Macaca mulatta: one gene and its partner. The main gene of each other region encodes a partner of the protein of the gene in region 2 in a complex. Links are inferred from orthologs where the notes say so. Each region holds a gene or a part of one and is shown on either strand. Other genes may lie near its edges.

The links. Proteins that work in one complex are often made in the same cells at the same time.
Region 1: the proteins of ANXA11 (region 2) and TARDBP are in contact, whole or in part, in a cryo-EM structure (PDB 9FOR), measured with the Homo sapiens proteins. The link is inferred for Macaca mulatta from reciprocal best matches to the Homo sapiens genes ANXA11 and TARDBP. Residues at the interface, in NP_001148.1 of Homo sapiens: Gly56, Met57, Ala59, Met61, Ser62, Gly63, Phe65, Asn69, Pro71, Asn72, Leu73; in NP_031401.1 of Homo sapiens: Ala328, Leu330, Ser332, Trp334, Gly335, Met337, Gly338, Met339, Ala341, Ser342, Gln343.

Annotation. Positions count from the first base shown.
Region 1 is NC_133406.1:229,708,484-229,712,004, forward strand, and holds part of TARDBP (TAR DNA-binding protein 43), read right to left. Parts: intron 1,712-3,521; coding exon 1,548-1,711; intron 141-1,547; coding exon 1-140. UniProt on the Homo sapiens protein: RNA-binding protein that is involved in various steps of RNA biogenesis and processing.
Region 2 is NC_133414.1:69,835,216-69,838,736, reverse strand, and holds part of ANXA11 (annexin A11), read right to left. Parts: intron 2,248-3,521; coding exon 2,152-2,247; intron 1,058-2,151; coding exon 999-1,057; intron 799-998; coding exon 676-798; intron 1-675. UniProt on the Homo sapiens protein: Binds specifically to calcyclin in a calcium-dependent manner. Required for midbody formation and completion of the terminal phase of cytokinesis.

The DNA of each region.
Region 1 (3,521 bases), on a different chromosome or scaffold from region 2:
TTAGAATTAGGAAGTTTACAGTCACACCATCGTCCATCTATCATATGTCGCTGTGACATTACTTTCACCTGTGTTTCATATTCCGTAAAACGAACAAAGCCAAACCCCTTTGAATGACCAGTCTTAAGATCTTTCTTGACCTAGAAAGGATGATTTAAGTTTACTCTAACAGTACACATACACATTCCACGCCCAAATCATAGTTCCTTAAAAAACAATTTGAATGGTTTTAACTGGATGCAGTTGTTTAAAACTTAAACCAAGTTAGTCTTCAGAGTAAAAACAAGGAGGTTAATATTGAATCCATACCGTGTTAACAATAGAGCAAAACTCACTTATACAACAGAAATGTTTTTGAGTTCTTAAAAAAAAGAGAGATGGGGCCAGGCGTGGTGGCTCACACCTGTATTCCCAGCGCTTTCGGAGGCTGGATAACTTGAGCACAGGAGTTAAAGTCCAGCCTGGGCAACACAGTGAAACCCTATCTCTACAAAAAATACAAAAATTAGCCAGGTATAGTGGCATGCGTCTGTAGTCCCAGCTACTTGGCAGGCTGAAGCACAAGAATAGCTTGAATCCAGGAGGCAGAGGTTGCAGCAAGCCTAAATTGCACCACTGCACTCTAGAGCCTGGCTGACAGAGCCAGACCCTGTCTCCAAAAAGAAAAAAAGAGAAACTGAGTCTGGATTATGTTGGCTAAGGTGGTCTTGAACTCCTGGCCTCAAGCAATCCTGAGTCTGGATTATGTTGGCTAAGGTGGTCTTGAACTCCTGGCCTCAAGCAATCCTCCTACCTCAGCCTACCAAAATGCTGGGATTACAGGCATGAGCCACCACAACAGGATTTTAACAGAATGTCTTAGAATGAATTCAAAGATAAAAAGCTATTATCACCTAATTCCCTTAAGCCTTCACGCAACAGCAGGATTTTACAATATTGAAGGTAATAATATAGAGTACAAGATATGTGTGTAAATATAACAAATATTGGAAGTATCATTTGTGTAACAGGAAGTACAGTGCCATTAAAATAACAAGAATATGGCCGGGCACGGTGGCTCACACCTGTAATCCCAGCACTGGGAGGCCAAGGCAGGTGGATCACCTGAGGTCAGGAGTTCAAGAACAGCCTGGCCAACTGGTGAAACCCTGTCTCTACTAAAAAATACAAAATTAGCCAGGCGTGATAATGTGCGCCTGTAATCCCAGATACAGGAGGCTAAGACAGGAGAAATCGCTTAAAGACAGGAGAAATCGCTTAAACCCAGGAGGTGGAGGTTTGCAGTGAGCCAAGATAGTGCCACTGCACTCCAGCCTGGACAGCAAAGTGAGACTTGGTCTCCAAAAAAAAAAAAAAAGTAACAAGAATGTGGCTAAGGCATCATGGCTCAGCACACTGGGGTTGAGGTGGGAGGACAGTTTGAGCCCAGGAGTTCAACACCAGAGCATAGGCAACATAGTGAGACCCCATCTCTATGTATACCAATAAATAAATGCCAGATGCTCATTCACTGTAAAGAAAAACTGTTTGATGCAATCGAAGTTTACCTGCACCATAAGAACTTCTCCAAAGGTACTAAAATACTCTTTCAGGTCCTGTTCAGTTGTTTTCCATGGGAGACCCAACACTATTAAATCGGATGTTTTCTGGACTGCTCTTTTCACTTTCACTGCTGATGAAGCATCTGTCTCATCCATTTTTCTTTTGTTATCTAAATAAAATGAGCAGAAACCTTTTAGACTTAGCACTTCTTTAAAAACACTACCTCCTACATCCAGAAATGAGAAGCAAAAAGAAGACTCTAAGAAGAGTAAGACACTGAAAACTTGCAAGAAGTGATTTTTGCTCTAGAGGACAGAATAAAGGCTTAAGTTTAGTGTCTGAGGTGCTTTTCTGGTGCAAATTCAGTGATTTCCAATTTTGTTTTTTGTAGTACTTCCAGATTACAATCTCTCTCAAAAGGTTTATCAAAACAAAAATAATTCTACTTCACTTTGACTTTAAGTATCAGCAACTTGTATCTCCTGATGTAGATTTCACTTTTATCTTTCCTAAACATTCGACAATACACAGCTTTTGCAATAAAATGGAAAACCAGGCACAGTGGTGTATATGCCTGTAAGTTCCAACAACTCAGGAGGCTGAGGAAGGAAGTTCCAACAAACTCCTGCCTTAGAGTCCAGGAGTTTGAGGCTGCAGGGTGTCTATGAACAGCCACTACAATATGCCTAGGCAACAGAGCAAGAGCCCCCATCTCTAATTTCAAAAAAGAAAAAGAAACCAAAAGTTTGGCTTACTTAAAAAAACATAACCAGCTGGGCATGGTGGCTCACACCTGTAATCCCAGCACTTTGGGAGGCTGAGGCAGGTGGATCACAAGGTCAAGAGTTCAAGACCAGCCTGGCTAAGATGGTGAAACTCCATCTATGCTAAAAACACACAAAAAAATTAGCCGGGCTCGGTGGCAGGCGCCTGTAATCCCAGTTACTTGGGAGGCTGAGGCAGGAGAATTGCCTGAACCCAAGAGGCAGAGGTTGCAGTGAGCCAAGACTGTGCCACTGCACTCCAGCCTGGGCGAGACTTTGTCTCAAAATAAAATAAAATAAATAAATAGATAAAAATACAAAAATTAGCCGGTCGTGGTGGCAGGCGCCTGTAATCCCAGCTACTCAGGAGGCTGAGGCAGAGAACTACTTGAACCCCAGAGGTGGAGGTTGCAGTGAGCCAAGATCGCGCCACTGCACTCCAGCCTGGGTGACAGAGCAAGACTCCATCTCAAAAAACAAACAACAACAACAAAAAACTCCTACACAACCTTAACCTTAGGTTATTTAGAAGAGAAAGGGAGATAATTTTTTTTTTTTTTGAGACGGATTCTCATTCTGTCACCCAGGCTGGAGTGCAGTGATGTAATCTCCCCTCACTGCAACCTCTGCCTCCTGGGTTCAAGTGATTAAGTGATTCTCCTGCCTCAGTCTCCTGAGTAGCTGGGATTACAGGTGTGAGCCACTGTGTCTGGCCTGGAGAGATAAATTAAATGACATTTTTTTCTTTTCTTTTTTTTTTTTGAGACGGAGTCTCGCTCTGTCGCCCAGGCTGGAGTGCAGTGGCCGGATCTCAGCTCACTGCAAGCTCCGCCTCCCGGGTTTACGCCATTCTCCTGCCTCAGCCTCCCGAGTAGCTGGGACTACAGGCGCCCGCCACCTCGCCCGGCTAGTTTTTTGTATTTTTAGTAGAGACGGGGTTTCACCGCGTTAGCCAGGATGGTCTTGATCTCCTGACCTCGTGATCCACCCGTCTCGGCCTCCCAAAGTGCTGGGATTACAGGCTTGAGCCACCGCACCCGGCCCTTTTTCTTTTTTTTGAGACGGTGTCCCGCTCTGCTGCCCAGGCTGGAGAGCAGTGGCACCATCTCAGCTTACTGCAACCTCCACCTCCTGGGTTCAAGCAATTCTCCTGCCTCAACCTCCCCAGTAACTAAGACTACAGATGCAAACCACCGCGCCTGTCTAAGTTTTGTA
Region 2 (3,521 bases):
GTTCAGAATTTGAGTGTTAGACCATGTAGCTGAGAATGTATTTTGTCAGACTGGCTCTGCCGCACAGCGATACAACAGTGGCTAGTGTTTAATAGACACTTGACCTGTACCACCTCACTCAATACTCACAACATTCCCGGGAAGGAACAATTATTTTCTCATCTTAAAGACAATGGAGCTGGGGTTCAGGGAGGTTTAAGGAAGCTGTTCAAGGTCACACAGTTAGCAAGTAGAAAAGCTGGACTCCAAGTGGCGTGACCCCCACGGCCTTCGCTCTGAACAGCCTCACTATGTGGCCTATGCCATAAAGCTGAGTGCAACAAGTGCTTTGTCAGTGAGTGAGAGCAGAGCTCCACAGAGCCTTTGGGACATGAGTTCTCACTGACAGCTCAAGGAATCACAGGGTGGTTGGGACGCTGAAGGTCGTGGTCAAGGTTGAGGAGGTCCCGAGTGTTCTCTGATGCTGCTGGGGGATGCAAGGTGGGGACGACAGCAAGGTCATGACCCACCTGCCCTCAGAAGTTTAGGGGCAACGGGATGAGCAAGTCTGAGGTCCATAAACAAGATGCCCACACACAGCACAGAGGCCAAGCATACGGCCACTCTAAGGAGGGAGGTTCCACAGGTGACTGGGATGCCAAAAGGGAGCCCAGTCTGCCTGCAGCAGGGCCATACCGAGATGTCGTGGTACAGCGACTTGCCGTACATCCGCTTATACTCCGATCTGATGTCCAGGAGGTCGGTCTCACTGCGAGACACCATGATGCGAATCAGGGTCCGGTCCTTTGTTCCTGCCCCCTAAAGAGAGTCCCCCCAAGAGCATGAGCACCAGGCCTCCTCACCTGCCCACCCGCCCTGGGCCTTCCAGTCCCCTCCCTACCCAAGTCCTCAGAACTCTCGGCTGAGATTTGGCTCTCCCCAGGCCTTCTACCCTCAGCCCTTGGACCTAGGCACAGGCGGGGCTAAGGTATCGCAACCTGCACATGGAAGTTACATACCCTCATGGCTTTGTTGAGCCTCTCCGCAAAGAAGGCTGGGGTGTTCTTGAGACATTTCACTAGAAGAGAGAAACTCAGCATAACCAGATCTGCAGAAAATTCTCAGCCCAAGCAGGGCATGGAGTCTACAAGTGTCCTCTTAGAGGCCCAGATGTCACATCCATCACTGCATCCATCTTTTCTCCTCTTCCTTCTGTTCCAGGCTCAACTATCCCATGATCTTGGCTCCAGCTCTTTGGAACAGAAACACGCAGAGTCTGGACACCAACCCACCCTCTTTCCTGGCAACCACCGTGATGAAAGGACCAAGAGTCAGAGGGGCGGGGGTCTTAGTGGGGCGAGGAGCTGCAGATGGTGACGAGGAACTGTGCTGCTGCTCAGGCAGGAGGGGCAGACTGGAGAGGCCATGACCCTCATGGAGAAACTGTGGCCGAGTGGAATGCGCATCTCCCTAGGCTTCCCAGGTCACGAGACCTACTGTGGGGGGCAGGCAGGGAAATGAGGATTTTCCATCTCTCCCATCCAGAAAACTCTAAAAAAAAAGCATAATGGAAAAAGGGGCAGACTGATTTTCCCAGGTGAGTAGAAAGAGGGGTTGTGAGGGCCTCAGGGCGGGGACCCAACTCTGCACAGTGGGAGGGACCTGGAGCCCACCGGGCCCTGCTAGAGGACATGGGCAATGTAAGAGGCACACTACCATCCCGGAGCCAAGCCAGCTTTCCTCAGCATGGGCCTGTTTCGCTGTTGCAAGTAAAAATCTTTCCACGTGTTTCCATCACAAACATCTGACAACTGCCTGCAGGGATGTATTTTTAGAGGAAACTTGGCAGGATATGAGTCATACTTCTCCGGGAGAGCAGCTGGATGCCCTCCCACTAATACCCACACTGCAGTTCCCTTCTCCAGAGCTGCACCACAAACACACACAAGACACACACACACACAAGACACCTCCAGGACAGCTAGGGGTTCAACTGCACAGGGACCCGGGAAGCGGCATGACTTCCCAGCATCTGGACACTCTGGGTTGAGTGATCTTGGATCCTGTGGTCCTTTCACGATGTCACCCATCAGCTGGAGGACAGGCGAACAGCCTGAACACTTACGACACGTTAGCCCCTGGACGGTGGGCAGGCAAACCTGAGACACTTACCCACAGCCAGCATGCCCTGCTCCAGATCCCCGGACATCTCGCGGCAGATGCTCTTCTCAATGTCCCGGCCTGTCATTCTCTGGTACTCATTGAAAACTAGGGGGATGACAGAGGCTTATTTTATGAACTGAAATGTGTCTCCTCAAAGTTCATATGTGGAAGTCCCAACTCCCAGGACTTCAGAATACAACCGTAGTTGGAGATAAGATTTTTAAAGAGGTGATTAAGTTAAAACATGCTGCTAGGGTGTACCCTAATCCAATCCGCCTGGTCTCCTTAGAAGAAGAGATTAGGACACACAGAGACCTCAGGGACGTGCACATGCAGAGGGAAGACCCTGTGAGCACACTGATTGCCACGAAGAGGCCACGGAGAAACCGGCACCCCACTCTAGGACATCCGGCCTTCAGAACTGCAACAAAATGAACGTCTGTTGCTTAAGCCACCCAGTTTGTGGTATTTTGTCATGGCAGCATGAGCAGACTAACAGAGGACTCACGTGAGGTGGCCTCTGCCCCCAAATCCCCCGCCTCCCACTCTGCTCCCACACCCTGCACGTCCCCAGGCCTGCCTAGCGCTCAAGGAAGCCAGAGATTTCGTCACAAGTCACACACACCACCTGATGTCCCTCTCTGTGTGGTCCTTTTCTCAGGACTGCCAATCTACTTAAGCAAATCGCACCTTAATACCCCTCCAGGGCCCACTCCCACGCACCCCAACACAGTGTCCCCTCTTCTCAAATCCCCCACACCTGCAGTCTCTGCCATTCCTTGGCTTTATTCATGCATCCATCTGTCTTCCTCAGCCTGCCTGGGAGCTGAAGCCCAGCCTGCCCCAGCCAATCTGGCTTTTTCTGCCCACCCCTGCCAGCCCAGCTCGATCTGGGACACGCAAAGCACCCATGGGAGTGGACGGCTGGCTCCTAGAGAGGCAGGCAGCATGATGGAAACCTGGGTCCTGACTCCAGCTCTGACCCAGGACATAAAACTCTCCTTCCCCAGCCTGAGTCTCAGCTTCCATTTGCATATTAAAGTCGTGATTTCTGCTCTATCTGTATCTATCTCAATATCTTCTTCAAATCAGCTCCTCTTTTCTCCTAAGTAATGTTTGTGAAGCCATGGGCTTGATGCACTACTTACATGTTCTGTACTCATTAAAAGAAATAATGATTTAAGATGAAAATGCATTCACTCAGGCTCCATTACAGGATAGTGCAGAGGTTAAAAAGTGTGCTCTGGGGTCGGGTGGCCTGGGTTCAAATCCCAGCTCAGCTGTTACTAGCTGTGCACCCCCACTTCCCTACCACCTTGTGCCTGCTTCCACAGCTGCAAATGGGGAGAGCCACAGTGCCTGCTGTGTGCAGCACAGAG